3 linked regions of the Neodiprion lecontei genome follow. The protein of the gene in region 1 purifies or fractionates together with the protein of each later gene. This does not show direct contact. Links are inferred from orthologs where the notes say so. Each region holds a gene or a part of one and is shown on either strand. Other genes may lie near its edges.

What was found. The genes of interacting proteins can lie anywhere in the genome.
Region 2: the proteins of ATP-dependent helicase brm (region 1) and bromodomain-containing protein 4 purify together in Drosophila melanogaster (affinity purification with western blotting; 6 studies listed by BioGRID, with this or other methods). This does not show direct contact. The link is inferred for Neodiprion lecontei from reciprocal best matches to the Drosophila melanogaster genes brm and Bap111.
Region 3: the proteins of ATP-dependent helicase brm (region 1) and protein polybromo-1 purify together in Drosophila melanogaster (affinity purification with western blotting; 3 studies listed by BioGRID, with this or other methods). This does not show direct contact. The link is inferred for Neodiprion lecontei from reciprocal best matches to the Drosophila melanogaster genes brm and polybromo.

What each region holds. Positions count from the first base shown.
Region 1 is NC_060262.1:27,357,200-27,361,837, reverse strand, and holds the start of ATP-dependent helicase brm, read left to right. Parts: upstream 1-1,616; 5' UTR 1,617-1,764; intron 1,765-2,891; 5' UTR 2,892-2,931; coding exon 2,932-3,183; exon of another isoform or gene 3,184-3,656; coding exon of another isoform or gene 3,657-3,805; intron 3,806-4,044; coding exon of another isoform or gene 4,045-4,196; intron 4,197-4,312; coding exon of another isoform or gene 4,313-4,418; intron 4,419-4,638. Other genes in the region: NADH dehydrogenase [ubiquinone] 1 beta subcomplex subunit 8, mitochondrial, read right to left, coding at 160-380, 1,080-1,164; inositol monophosphatase 1, read right to left, coding at 3,657-3,805, 4,045-4,196, 4,313-4,418. UniProt on the Drosophila melanogaster protein: Transcriptional regulator. Acts as a coactivator, assisting one or more dedicated transcriptional activators of ANTC and BXC homeotic gene clusters. Can counteract the repressive effect of Polycomb protein.
Region 2 is NC_060265.1:2,667,170-2,673,418, forward strand, and holds bromodomain-containing protein 4, read left to right. Parts: upstream 1-1,597; 5' UTR 1,598-1,737; exon of another isoform or gene 1,738-1,742; intron 1,743-2,101; exon of another isoform or gene 2,102-2,142; 5' UTR 2,143-2,149; coding exon 2,150-2,213; intron 2,214-2,297; coding exon 2,298-2,341; intron 2,342-2,421; coding exon 2,422-2,502; intron 2,503-2,582; coding exon 2,583-2,789; intron 2,790-2,916; coding exon 2,917-3,001; intron 3,002-3,190; coding exon 3,191-3,313; intron 3,314-3,538; coding exon 3,539-3,711; intron 3,712-3,807; coding exon 3,808-3,909; intron 3,910-3,982; coding exon 3,983-4,171; intron 4,172-4,304; coding exon 4,305-5,348; 3' UTR 5,349-5,725; downstream 5,726-6,249.
Region 3 is NC_060265.1:21,313,812-21,318,686, reverse strand, and holds the start of protein polybromo-1, read right to left. Parts: upstream 3,025-4,875; 5' UTR 2,910-3,024; intron 2,658-2,909; 5' UTR 2,648-2,657; coding exon 2,543-2,647; intron 2,111-2,542; coding exon 1,865-2,110; intron 1,661-1,864; coding exon 1,532-1,660; intron 1,464-1,531; coding exon 1,284-1,463; intron 1,078-1,283; coding exon 633-1,077; intron 456-632; coding exon 343-455; intron 195-342; coding exon 96-194; intron 29-95; coding exon 1-28. Other genes in the region: uncharacterized protein LOC124295063, read right to left, coding at 4,394-4,875.

The sequences.
Region 1 (4,638 bases):
AATTTGATATTCATCAGGAGTTTGATTCTCTTACTGTTGCATCCTGAAGATTTGCTTTTAAATTCAAGTGTTTCAAATAGCATTGATACCCTAATAAGGCAACATGCGTTTGTTTTGAGAAAGTATAAGAAAACTCGGAATGAAATGAATTGTACTAACAGGTTCGTTGAAATTTCTTTTATGTTCTGGGAAATCCCAAGGGTAATAATCATCCTTGGCTTCAGCCGAGACCATAGGAAGTTCTGGATAATCTCCTAAACCATTTCCATCATCTGGAATTGGTTTATAATCTTCTTTTATTAGGTTATATTTCTCTGCTGCTTTAGCTCTTTCTTCTTCTGTTGTTGGATATTGGGCTGGTTTATAGTCCCTGATCATACCTGAACAGAAAAGATTTTATCATAATTTATAATACGTTTAAATGAGTTGAACTTTGTGACCGTATAGATATTATAAATATTTGATTTCGTTGGACGACGGTCAGGGTTGGAATGATGGTCAATAAGCAATGAATTTTATTTTCCGTACATTTTGGCAGGTCCTGATGATGGTCGGCTGGGCCTGCCGAAACGTCGTACAGAAGATAAAATTGATTGCTTAATGTGCATCATTCCAACCCTAACCGTCATCCAACGAAATCAAATATTCATAACACGTTTAAAAGAATGTTTTGTTAATTCGTAACAGTTAGCTTTCAGTTCATTACCTAATATGCATGAAACAATTTAATGAAATTATTTATCAGGCCATTTAAAGCAGGTACAGTAATGAAATCTCATTGCATCTGTTTTGAAACATACATTCTGGCATTTTGATGACATAAATATGTATTAGCTGTTCATATGGAGTTAAGCTGCCCGTGAGAAAGTTGAAGATATCAAAAAAGATATGTATCGTAATATCGAGGAGCAGGAAAAGTAAGCTACACATTAATTTTCGTTAAAATCTGTAATGCAAAGTAATAAATTATGTAATTGATGGACATAACCTCTACGGTGTGCGTTTACTCCAGTAACTTCATTCGCACTCACGAAATATTTCACACAAATATATTTTTATGGTGTTCTGTTTACACTTACTGTATTTCGCTATATTATACGTGTAGACACCGTTTTGTGGCCATAATCGGGTCGAAATTTTACAGAACTTCGCGAGAGAAGACATTTTTGATAACTCAGGCCTTTCCGGCTCTGACCACCAACTATAGAAACTCCGTCTCTGTGGCTACGGGCTCTACGGAGGCGCGGCGTTGAACGCGTTCTAGCCATGGACTAAAGCCATAGACTATCGTAAGCGTTGACTGAACTCACTGATATGTAACAGTAACCAAACAAGATCAACACAAAAGACAATCTAAAGCCAGAGTTGAATCAAATGTCCGCTATCTCTTGCTTTTTTCATTTTTAAAAACGACATTTCTCAACGCTTTTTATACCCATATATAGCGATTTGAGCCATAAAATGGGTAAAACATCGATTGGGTTCGTATGGTAAAGATGGCCTGAAGATGGATTCGCACCGCTGTTTTTATGTATAAACATTCAGCATACGATTGGCGATAGCAGCGCCACTAGCGTCTGAACGAGCGAGAATGCGGGAAAGAAAGATGGCCGGCGGCTTGTGTTATTCGGTGGGATTTGTCGTGTAGTCGCGGTCAAGATTGCTTTCTCCTATTTAGGTTGAAATATTACAAGTTTACTGCATGAACGTAGTGGAAACTATTCGTCGTATGTTCGGCGGAAGCCCGAGCTAAGAGTTAAAAAGGTACGAGTCGTCTTTACAGACATATTCATGAATGTATGTCTTACGTTTTTGCGTAATGGCCAAAAGGGACTCCGATTCGCTCGAGTGTGTTTGTGCTTCAACTTTGTTGACGATGAAATTCTAGTTGAAATCGTCACGATTTGAAACTAACTCATTGAATAATATAATTGAGGTACCAAGTTTTCCGTAAAGCGTACATTATCTGAGACGTACACAGAGTGTTGAGTAATATTTGACGACGAAGCCGTGAGTTTGGTGTCACACACACATAATTGTGTTCCATCAATCCAAGTTTTTCGCCTCACCCTGCCTTACGAACCACTGTCGTATTTTTGATAGTTTTTTTTTTTAACTCTCTCAATTTTCTTAGGTATTATGAATTACGTCATTTTGTGTCTTCTTTTTTTGCTATTAAATATGCAGACTTTTTGTCATCAGCTTTGTTGTTAACTTGTAAATGTGAAATGAGGTTACATTTGACGGGTTCTCGTACTCGTGATCATAATCCTGACAAAAGAATTATCAGTTTAAGCCAGAAAATTTCGATAATCTTTGACTAATTAAATAAATACCACTTTAAACCATCAATGAAATAGGCACTATGCTCAAAATCACAATTGTAAGAAACTTACCTCGCACACCCAGATATGCAGTCGATGTATCAGTTGCCATTATTCTGTGATGCAACGTCACCTTGGTTGTTTGTGCACTAACGCGAAGCATAAATTCTTCATAAAATAAACTTTGTGTCTTTCCCATGTATTTTGATCTAGGAAGCTATGCAATCGTGACTGAAACATCTTGTGATTCGTTCATGTTGAAAACCACGGGTTCATTCTAATGGAAATATTTCTGAAAAGCAATTCTGTTAATCTTTGGAATATAAGCAGTATTACAGTTGTTAATGATTCTACTTTTGTTGAACGGAATGGACTTGGAAAAATCAGGGATGCTGAGAGAGTCAACCGAAAAAAACATTATCGTTTCCAAAATATTTTTTCTGCATTCTTACGCAAACCTTATTAAAAATTAAATTCCTGTCCGAGTCTTCCATAAAAGGAACTTCGAATTTATATCCTAATGTTTGTCTAACTTTGGTTTCATTGGTAATGAGATTTATTTTTCAGAGTCCCAGTACTGAATAAGCTGGAGTCTGATAGAAACAGCATGGCGAGCCCCTCGCCCCAATCGTCTCCCATGCCACCCCCACAAGCACCAAGTCCAATGGGCCCTCCCCAACAAGCTCCATCCCCGTCCAATCCTCAAGGCAGTCCAATGGGTCCTCCACAACATCATCCTCATAGTCCAACTCAAGGATATCAGGGCGGTCCACCAATGCCGCAGCAACAGCAGCCTCCCCCACAGCAACAAGGGTATCCTCCACACCCGCAGCAAATGCCACCAAATATGGGACCTCAGGTGAGATGTTTTTAAATTCAAATCATCGAATGAAGCTAAAGTCTTCAGAATTCACAATGGGATGTGTTAATCATTGTATGCTATTTCTCCTCGCCGGATTCGGTTCTTAAAGATAAGTTGAACGTGGAGTAATCAAATTATATGTTAGCTTGTATTGATATGAAAATCTAGTGAAATGCTTCTTGGAACAAATTTATTTTGTAGACGGTTCAAGGGAATTGAAATGCTCATTGCGTGAAGAGTTTAAATTTAGTAGTTATAATTCAAAAGATCAATTAAACGAAGAGAATGAAGAACAAGTGAAGAACTTGGACATATATACGACGATTTTTCTATTCTCTTCTTTCCGTTATTTGCTTATTTGACACTGCTAATTGTCATAAATCGCTGTGCTGAACTTGATATTGGAAGTTTTAAGATGAATAGTTACAGAAGTTTGGAATTACACAGTACAAGATATAAAGGGAAGTTTGTTAAAGATCTGAACTTATCTGCAACAAGAAGTCAGATATTTTTTCCTGACCGATGCTGTCTGTTTTCTTGAATAGATTGACAATTTGTTCAGCTATTTCACGGTTACAAGCTGCAATCACTTTTGGGTTCATCAAATCTAAAACTCCACCTGAAAAAAGAATCCATTTCAAGTCCATAAATTAATTTGAAGAATTCTGTACATAGATGAATGTAGACGATCCGTCAAATTCTATAATGTTGATTTTCTGCTTCCTCATCATAGATTATTCTGTTTTCAATATTTAGAATGTTTATATTAGTATACATTCTTATCAATTCTCCGTTGACAGAAGAGAAGAAAAAAAATATTTCCCTCGATTACACACACCATAAATTATATGATCTTACCAGTAGTATCCACAACCATCCCTCCAGCCTCTTCGATGATTAATTGTCCGGCAGCCACGTCCCATGGGTCTATGCCTTCGATGTGATATGCTTCGATTGCACCCATCGCTACGTAGCATAGACTTAGCGCAGCCAGTCCCAGAGATCTAATTCTGAAATAATTTGTTGATAGTTTCATTCGAAATTATACTTACACGCAACTGTTCAACTATGAGAGTTTCTTTCGATTAATACAGCTTGTAGTCCTTGAATTTTTTCTAGTACCAACCCGTGAGTCTTCTGAATTAGAAAATGTGTTCTGCTATACAAACTTGAGGTATGTTCTTCATTTTTGGCTAACCATGGCTCGATTCCGACAAGAGCATGCGAAAGGTCTGAAACATCCAATTTTGTGTCAATTCTGACATTTTTGTTCGACAAATGTTCAATTTCAATTAATTGTACTTTCGATTTAGGAGAGACGGTACTTGTATCACATTTTGTGGTATATTTATTTTTTTGTCAACTCCTTGGCTTGCACTGGCAATTAAAATTATCAGCCATTGTTACTTATTAGTGTGAGATAATATTTCACTAGGTTAACGATGGTAACGT
Region 2 (6,249 bases), on another chromosome or scaffold:
AATGCCGTTTGTACCCGTCACCGAGGGAGGCTCAAAATAATGAAACCTGCCAATATCTTATGTATTTTTTAGTGATTCTTGTAGGACCAGCATAACCTCAATGGAGTGACTAGTGCGAGAATATGAGTAGCTAGGATCGAAATATATTCAGTAAAAAAATGGGCGAATAAAAAGTTAATATTCTCAGTCATCCCAGGAAAAACTATTTCTCGGATGCGGCATCATAACCTCTAAATGAAAGTCAACGAGTGTTAAAAATAGCATTCGCGATTATAACTGATAATGATGATGATGATAATAAATAAACACCTGAAAGTAATACTTGCCTGCAGTGGTCTGGTTACTATCGTGGAAGTAAGTTTCAATGAAGACAATCAAATTATTATTAATCTTCGCAATTTTGATCCCACAGTAAACACAGCAATCACATGTTTTCAAGCCGATCTGATTTCAAATATTGCGGCTTGTTGACACTAAAACCCAATCTGGCACGTGTTCCGTAACACGTTACCAATCTTCGGATTTGCGTTCCGCATGCGAGTAAAATAACCCGACGACACCGTTTCCAGCGTGTAATTTAAATCCGGAAAAATTATTACAACGTTGCTGAATTGAGAAATCATATCTCTTTACGTTGCTTACCAACTTGGAGCATATGCATACCAACAATGATATGAATAAATAATAATTAGGTGTATGGCAAAGCTTGCGCACGTGAAGCTCAAGCTTGAATGAGAAGATAGCAAATAAATTACGTTCATACGTGTACACAGATGACAAATGCAGTATATCATATTTTCGAACAGAAGTATATATGTATGTGCAAATGTTCATATTATACCTGGATGTCCATGTAATGAAGAAAGAACAGTTCGATGTACGTTCATCTTTTCTTCGGGAGAATTGAACAATTCGTTTTCACTACGCGCACTCGAGTCCGAGGATATCCTAACTATAAACGATCACTTTTCACCTGTAAACATCTGAACTCTACGTTTGCAGATACACGAAACGAAAATCAAACTGGAAATTTTTTTTCATTTTGAGGGCGGAATAGACTCGTTTATTTTTTATACCGTTTGGATAATACACTACGTAAATACCACTGCGGACAGTATCACAAATGTATCACAAATTTGTTAATATTTTTAATTCAAAACTAACAAACTTACCGTCAAAACTTTATTCTTTACAGCGCGAGAAAGAATTCGGACTTGGAACTGATCAACAACATGGCTTCCCGATCGTCTATCAATTGTTTATTCTAACGTCGCGGACTTGGACAAAAAACCGTTGACCTAAAACTCGAATAACGCTATTCACCAAAGTTCAATTATATTAACTCAGGTTTTATGTTAATATATAACAAAGATAATCAATAAAAACAAATACTTACATGAGTATTGTCGACTAAAGTCCTAAAAGTAGACCCGATCGGCATTAAAAGCAGATGAGACTCCGGTCCGTTGCCAACGTCACACCGATCATGTTGTAAGCGTGATCCGCCATCTCTTGATGATTTTTGTAAGTTCAAAAGCTAGACGCCATCTACGAGATGCGTGCTGACAACTATGCTTTTTTAATGTGGGCATGTACGAGCAATCTATGAAATTCTGAAACCTCGCCCGACGCTTCGGCGTTTTGTACCGTGAATTGTAAATTTTCGTTACTCTCTAACTTTGATTCAGTATGAGGTTTTACTCCTGAAACGATTGACGGTGGTTTCTTACTTACAAAGTAAGTACTTTCATTTATTCGTAATGCTTTATTCGATTTTTCCTTTCCTTCGAATTGGACAGCAGAGGCTTACGTGTACGGAATTTAGCTCATTGCCAGCAACAGCTTAGCACAGTTTTCATACATAATGTTCATTTCCCAAAGTCGGATTTCCAGGAACTCGATTGGATTAATTTACAGACAATTCGAACGGAGTTGTAACCTTCTGTTAACTATTTTGCAAGCGGCGGAAATGATATTTACTCAGAAACTGGAGCTTCTGATATTTTCCCACGATTTCATATATTATCACAAATCTTTGATTGCAGTAGATTGTGAAAAAATTAATTTTTCGACAAACCCAAGTTAATTGTTTTCAAGAATACCGTCTTTCAACGATTCATTCATTAATTTTCAAATGTACAGGTAAAGGATGGCGTTACCGCAGAATTACAAACAAGTGGCGATGGCGTCGTCAAATGTTGTTTCTAGCAATCGTATGTATAATAAACCTAAAGTGAACATCATGCGCATAGACAAAATTGAATGCTGAAATTATAACTGTTGGATATTTTTAACAGAACGATTACGGGCTTCCGGTGCCAGTGGTAGTTCTAGTACAGGGGTATGTTATCAAGCAATCTTTCTCATACGCATCAGTCAAACATCTCTGATCCAGAAATTTAATCATGACATTATTTGCAGAAAGATGCGCAGACCCCTTTCATTCAAACACCTCATGGACATCCTGGATTTACCCCACAGAAAGTTGGAAAAAGCACACCGGTAGACATGCGTTTATTTACATAAAATGTTGTTCTGCCGTTGGCTGCTTACAGGATCCACAATTATGCTATATGTTTCAGGCGGATTCTAGGTTGCCAAAACCACCCAAGCCTCCAGAGAAACCATTGATGCCATACATGAGATACAGCAGAAAAGTCTGGGACCAAGTGAAAGCTCAAAATCCCGAGTTAAAACTATGGGAAATAGGAAAAATCATCGGGCAGATGTGGAGAGACCTACCGGAAGATGAGAAAACTGAATTCATCGAAGAATATGAAGCAGAAAAGGTGAGTATACTGAATTTCAAATATCGAAAACCCTTCTTCCTCATTGCTACCCACTACAGCTACATCTGAAGTTTTCAAATGTTTCTCTCTTTGAAAATTCTAAACAACTAGTAATGTTTGGTTTCAGGTCGAATATGAGAAGAGCTTAAAAACTTACCATAATTCGCCTGCATACCTTGCGTATATCGCTGCAAAGAATAGGGGAAAATCTGGTAGGTTTCAGCTAATTTTTTACTCTATCTGATATTCGTTGCATTATTGTATAACAAGACATATATAGCTCTAACTGCACTTTTCTGTGTCAGATAAGAAAATGATCTGGTATATTTAGATGTGTTTTGTCAGCTTGTGCATATCCAAACACTGAGTGTAGGATGTTTACAAACTTGTGTCTAATGCAGTGTTATGTGCAGCTCAGCAAAATAGCGATGATCGAGAAACTCATGAGCGTTCCTCTGGAAGCAGTAAAAGTCAGGCAGCCCAAGACCGACGGATAGACATTCAACCGGCGGAAGATGATGATGGTATACAATTTATCCATTAACTATCCATTTCTTCTTTTGTTAAACTGTAAGTTTTGGCCTAAGAAGTTCATAATTTGCTATCCCGAAATAAGAGGTAAGCGCAATTGGGATTTCCTAATCTGTGTTAGGTTTTGAAAGACTAATCGTATAAAGTTGACTGGATCTGTACAAACTTAGCAAACGTCGTTGAGCACCGAGTTATGTTCTATTTCTATTTATCCCTAGATCAAGACGATGGATATTCAGTCAAACACGTTGCATATTCTCGATTCGCCCGCAATCACAGACTGATAAATGAGATCTTTAGCGACACCGTTGTACCAGATGTGCGTTCTGTAGTTACTACTCAAAGAATGCAAGTTCTTCGACGCCAAGTACAGTCACTCACAATGCATCAGGTAGTCTAAACCACACGTTGTTAGTAAAATAAATATGTCTTCTATTGTAAAGCAAGAATTGCTTTAACTTATAAATATAATAAAATACTTCTGCAGAAAAAATTAGAAGCTGAGCTGCAGCAGATTGAAGAAAAGTTTGACGCAAAAAAACGTAAATTCGTTGAAGCTAGCGAAGTGTTTCAAGATGAATTAAAGAAAGTAAGTAAAAACTTGTAGTTTACAATTTTAGCATAATAATAAATTGTTGCTGATATACGTTTTATCCCATCAGCATTGTAAGCCTGCAGTAGACGAAGATGCATTCAATAAAATGGTTGAGCGTCAATACGAGTTATTACGAAGAGACAGACAAAAAGGTACCGAAGAAAATCGATCTGATGGCCCGGCTTCAAGCGAATCAACACCGAATTCCACTCCAACTCCAACTCCGGCCCCAGTTAGCGAAGAATCACAACCTGAGGTATTAATAATTTGTTATAAATATACTATGTAAAAATGGATTCTGAGTAAGAGCAGATTATTAGATGAACGGAGAACAAAGACATTCTCACATTCGAAGCTTATAATCAATTGACGTGTGTATATTTCTATAGATTACAGACAGCGAACCATCAGAAAAGAAAATGGATGTGGATCAGCCTATCGAAACGAAAAAGGAGACACTTTCACCGCCATACACAGAAGTAAAAACTGAAACAACAATGCAAACAAATAATCACTCTCCGCAGAGGTCTTCACCTGTGACATATCCGGGAGCAGTGAGCCCCATCCAGCAAACAACCGTTACTACCGCTACAAGCGTACCCCCACCCCAGCCTTCTACTCCACCAGCCATTGCTCCTGTACTTGTACCAGCACAGCCTCCACCACTGCTACTACAACAGCAACATCACCAACAACAACAACAACAGCAGCAGCAGCAACAGCAACAACAGCAGCAGCAACAGCAGCAGCAACAACAGCAGCAGCAGCAGCAACTACCACCACCACCACCTCAGCCGCAACCTCAAACTCAACCTCAGCAACAGCAACAGCAACAGCAACAGCAACAGCAACCTCAACCTCCTCCATCGCATACCCCCCATCAACAAAACGTTCTTCCCAATCATTCGATTCCTCCCCATCAGAATCACACTCTACCCTCTCAAGCGACACCTCCGCACAATCAAAACATGCCGCCCCAAACAATGCCTTCCCAAAATGCAATGCCACCAAACCCTCACGTGAACTCAATGATACCCACCGGTCAGAGTTACAATCAGCAGTATCAACCGGCCGGAGGTCAACAAGCGCAAAATGTTCCGTTGGCTCCAAGACCGCCACATCCTTCTTATGCGTATTCTCAACAGCAGCCGTATCATCAACCTTATCCTCAATATGCTCATCCCTATTATCAATCTTATTCCCAGTATGCTCCCCATTCTATGGGTAGACCGCACTCTCACGGCCCACACAGCCCTCATAGTCCTCATTATCATCCTCAATCACCGCACAATGTGGGAGATGGAAATTCAGGTTCTAATGTTGGCTCTGATTCAGGAGCTTCGTATGCTTCGACACCTATTCACGGCGACAGAGATCGACCTCCCGAAAACCAGGCGGACAATCAAAAAATGGATACATCTGGATCAGGATAAATCCACGAAGTGTTGAATTTAGTTTGTAAGCTATTTTCAAACAAAACAACCTTTTTATTAATAATTGTATTGGAGTGGTGTTTAGTTTCGAAAAACCTATAACTGTAAGTATTCATGTCCCATTTTTGTCATTATACTAGGTTATTCTGATTTATGGTTATACAATGTTGGCTACACACTGATTAATATAGGTTGAAGTAATCTAGTATTTCATCATCATTCACACCATAATGGAAGACTAGGTAATGCTTTTAAAAACACGTATGACCTAGCTGATCTTTTCGTAGAGTGTTTAGAACGATTTCTTAACAATTGCTGATTATCATTGGAACTGATCAATATGGTAATAGAAATAAAGCTTACTCTATAAAACTGGACATTCATTTTATCATTTCGGATGCAGTAATTTAAGCGACTGTACAGAAAACGTTGCAACACATCAATTTGCATAACTCGTGAGTATAAATGTAATACATTCTTAGTATCCAGCTACAGTGATATCAAGTTTATTGACATGTTAAAAAAACGGCTGAATGCGTAGTAGTATATTCAATACCAGTCACAGGAGATTAATCGAAATAATTTGATAATTCTATTATTTTTTCCTTGTAGAAAGAGACAAGAATAGTATATTATGCAACAATAAAGTCAAAGATTATTCCTGCGGGTGGGTTTGCTACCTGAGCGAAACGAGGGCAGTAATCACCTGAAGGAATAATCGACTTGTATTTCTGTTGCATGTAAAACTTTATTCCAGGCTCAACTCTGATCACATTATTGACTTGATAGTCTTAACTTTTTATGTGCAAGTGTGATCATTTTATTAGTCTAAAGACTAGGATATTGTTGAAAATTCACAATAACACCGTACGAAATAGTTAAAATTTGAAAATAGTGAGAA
Region 3 (4,875 bases), on another chromosome or scaffold:
GCATAATTTTCTGTAACTTGGCGGCACACTATGAAAACATATAATTTTATTTCCTGCTTATTTCAATCAAATAGATTTCTGCAATGCAAATTTACCTTATACAAACGAGACGTATGGACGTTATACTTTTTAGCATTTTCAAACATGATATTCATATCACCTGCAACCTCACTGACAGTGCCATATTCCCCCTTCTATGAAAGAAATCCATATATGTATGTAAGTTGAACAAACTAATATGTGTCAGCTCATTTATTGATGTTTTTGCATATCAAATCGTCAGTCGATACATGCATTGGAATTGTAAGAAATGTTCCTTTTACATGGGTTTTTGTATCTCACCTTTATTTTAGTCCGTATTTGATATAGTGATATTGGATTTTTTATTGCTTTGTAATAATCAGGATATAATCGTTTAGATGGTAATTTCCAATAGTATTCACTCATCCGGACGCCTGTAGATCCAAAATAAAATATTGTCTAATTCACCACTTTCACTCATATAAATGAATATCACATACATAAATAAGTTAATTTACTAGCAAAAGATTTTCAATCAAGAAACCTATATTCACAACTCGAGGTTAATTGTTGAAGATATTCTACCTTTATTGAAACAAAACGAAACACACCTTGACTGTTTGGGGCAGTTTTTATGGTCTGAAATAACTGCCACTGTGGATTGTCAGACTCTTCTCCGTCATTAGCTTCCTCCTCTTCGTCATCACTTTCATCTTCATCTTCATCTGCAAGTGCAGCAGTCACTGCTACAAGGGACTGGCCAGCACTTCTTCCTCTTTTACTTCTAGTAGAAGTTGCAGTAGAAGTGAGCTTCGGTACCATACCAGTAGCGCTAGATTCCTGTTTTTTAGCTGCAGAAACGATTATCTTTTTCAACATTTTAGCATCCTTGTATATTTGAGAACCTGGTTCATTAAACTGACAAGCATTGCGACACATGAGCATGAGATCTCTTTCCATTTCAATCAGTCCAGCATACGCTCCTTCTTGAATCCGGCGTGCGATTGTCTTCAAATCCACTGGATTCTCAATTATCTCATAATACTCAGGGTACAGCTGCAAATTAAATTTCACACTATTCAATTTCAGGTAATTTGTGAAGCAGTAAAATGTGTATTTCTATTGCAATTTTCCTGGCGCGTAATGGAACATCACAATTCTCATATTGCAACCACATTCGTTGACTATACAAGAAAATGAAAAATTCAAATAGACATAAAATTTGTAACAACAAAATTGGATTGTTCAGTGAAAATACAAACTTTCTTGGAAGGTTTCAATTGAAATGGAATATGTAGTGGTCTGTTATTGTCTTGTGGATTTGTTGCAGCCATGACCGCAGCAAACAAATCCTCGTATGGTTGCATAGACTCTTCATCAGGGTTGGTAGAGCTTTCAGAAGTGTCCTCAGCGTCATCCTGACGAGTTGTTACTTTCCGTGCCTGATAAAGGACATATTAATATTAAGCTTCTTGTATATATAACTCACGTGTTTTTTGCATTATCTTACCAGTCTGCCAACCTTAAGAATTATTTTCCCCTTTGGTTCAGAATCCTCATATTCTTCCATTATCCGATTTTTAGTATTCAGACATAATTCCCACAATTCCGTTGCATCTTTGTACTCTGGAGAAGTCCGCTAGACAAAATGTCAAAAGTTACCGCATTATTATATGTATATCAATAAACAGGATAAACTGTAACTATGAGCAGTTTTACCTTACGGGCAATCAAAATGTAAATCGATTGCTTAGCTCTAGGTAATAAATCAATCTTTGTTCTAATTCATTGCTTTTAACCATCAAATTCAATTACGAGTTGTTGATTTGGAAAAAATACATACCATGTAAAAAGCTTTAGCGTTATTAACCATAAGTTGAATGTCAGCTGCCAAATCATCCATATCTCGATATTCATCGGTTTTGAGCTTTTGCTGAACTTTCAACAAATCAATTGGATTTGTAACAACTTCGTAATAACCAGGTTCCTGTCTGCGTTTTGGTACGCGAATAAAAGCATCACACAACAGTGTTCCATCTTCTCTTTTTTGATTACGAAGAACATCATAGAGCTGCTGGCAAAGATCACTCTGCAATGATAAATCTCTAATTGAAATTTGGCTAATCCAACCTATAATACAACGGCATCGCATATTCAAACTGGAATCCAACTTTACAAGAAGCAAGATATTAATGGAAAGTGTTGAATGAATACAGCTAAATTCGATGATATAATTACTATAAAGGGAAGCAATATTTCTACCAAGTTGCAAGTATGTCTGTGTGAAAGTTTCACAAAGATATTTCTGTCATTTCATTTGTCTTTCGCAGATGGATCAACTTGCATTTACAAGGTCTCCGAATTTGAAATTATTTTAAGTATATCTTCAGAGCCATATCTACAACAATCTGCCGACCATTGTAATTTTTTTCCCATTCTATTATATTAGTATGAATTGAATCAATAAGTTATTGTTTATAGATTGCGTCCGTAATATCAGAAAATGACAGGGCAATGTTACCGGATCTAATTTTCGTCGTCGTTTCGTTGGTTCCGGTTGTACGTCGTCGGGATCATCCTCAGTACCACGACTTGCAACGGACGAAGTTCGACGGCGTTTATTCATCGTTGTGAGCCTGAAAATCGTAAAGAAATATTGTTTATTTTTACGCCGCATGACGCCATGTTAAATACAGTAGACCATGTACACTATGCATCTTACATTAGATGCAGGAATGTGATCCAAAGCTAGTCGAATTAATGGATTAAAAAAATAACAAAATCAAGCTGAATTTATCGCTCTACACTTACCGGATCCTGAAGTATTGATTTATAACTTAATTGCATGTGGAAGTAAATCTAATGCAACTTTAAGTAACGTTACTTGCCTGAGTTTACAAGGTATACAAATAGAGAGGTGACCACCATGCCTGCCGCAATATCTACTTCCTGATCAGAATCAAGATTTCCTATCCAAGCTCACATCCACGGGATAGATTTGTCGAGCTGCTAGAGACGTGAGAGGAAACCCACTGAAATATTTATAATACATTTCAGTAGTAAAACCGAGGTAGCGGCCATATTACGTTGTGTGCTACATCACGAAAGTTGCGGCCAGACTGTATGAAACTGAATAGAACCACCGTAACGGGAATTCGTAGATTAAAAAAATTGAATAACAAGTTACTGGTATCATTGAATAACCAAGCTAATAACTACATCATTTCACTATTTCCACGTCCGTGGTTCTGATTCTGGGTTTCTGTAGAGTCTAGCCAGTGATGTGGGCCAGTGCTTCGTTAACTAACTAGTGTTGAAAATTGGACAAAAATAACAAGTGTAAAGTTTCGCGCCAACATGCAGTTGAATTACATATGATGACAGCTTTCAGTTCTGAAATTATAAATTCCTGAATTCCACTAAAAGATTGATTGTTTATTCATTTTCAATTGAGTATCAAAATAAGTTGATGCCAAGTAAATTCAATGAGATGTATGTACGTACCATTAAAATTTCAACTTTTATTTGTATAATTCAATACCATTAGCTGAGATTCTAAAAATTTGTGGATACATTAATTTCAAGTTGTAGATTAATGTTTTTACAAATAGGTGTCTGTTTCAATTTACAGCTGTATTAAGTGTCATGATGAAGGATGGTGATTGAAAAAATATTCAGTCACTCAGAAAAAATTCCAGAGTGTAATTTGTGCATTTATTTGAGCTCTTCAACTTTTCAATTGCAACTGAGTTAAGACTACACTCATGTATAGGTGATACTCGAGAATATCGATATGATACGGATTTTATTCATTATTATGAGTATACATAACAATTTCTCTAAACGCAAATTATACTCCTTGCATAGTTACATTTATACAATTTTCATGCATGTCATATACATACAACTAAACTAATTTAACGGTCAATTATTGCACGTAAAAAATACTCATGGCCTTCTAATTGGTTCATATTTAGCTAACAAACGTGTTGAATAAAATTAAAAAGTACAATGCCATAATTATGGAATTGATAATATTACAAAGTCCAACGTTCAAACCGTAAAAGACTTTTCAGTTGCAGTTTTAAATCAAGTGATTATAGAATAATTAGACTGTGTAATTTCATAACTGTCACAGTTTTGAACACTTTGAGGTCACAGAACGTAATTAAATAATTAAAATATAGTGTAATTTTGAAATTAGAATTACATTAGTTACTCTTCAGTGGTAATTCAGTCTCTAAAACATCTTGATCTCGGATTATCCCTCTGGATAAAATCTTTTACTGTTTACAATCAGGCTTTTTTTACCAACATTTCTGGGGTTTAGCTCTCATTGTATCCCAAATAATTTCGCAAACTCAACTTGTCTTTAAGTTTTAGAAATTCCTTTAACAATAATGCTTATGCCAGGAAGGGAGAAAAGTTTTCTCAAATTATTGTAACCCCTCGGACCAGTTGCCTTAAGTATATCCCTAGCCATAACTATATCTGTTTTAGTAAACCTTGGTTTTTTAGACGTCTTGTTAGAATTCCTCAATTGTGTTTCTATAAATCGCTTTTGAATAGTCGATAGATTACTGATACCAAGATATTCTCTTTGCTCGATAGCGGCCAATGTTTGATATCTATTCTTCTGAAATCGAAAAAGCTTTTTCTTTAGGTTGTGGATATAGGACAACATTTCTGTTTCTCTGGACGTAACGTTATGTTGATTAATTCGAAATTGTTTACACAGATTTTCATAATCGGCATACTTTTGTTCAAATCGTATGTCGTCTTTACTACTCTTTTCAGTCAAACCATCAATAACAGGATTATGTTCCTTTGTGCCCTTCACAGCTATTATATTAC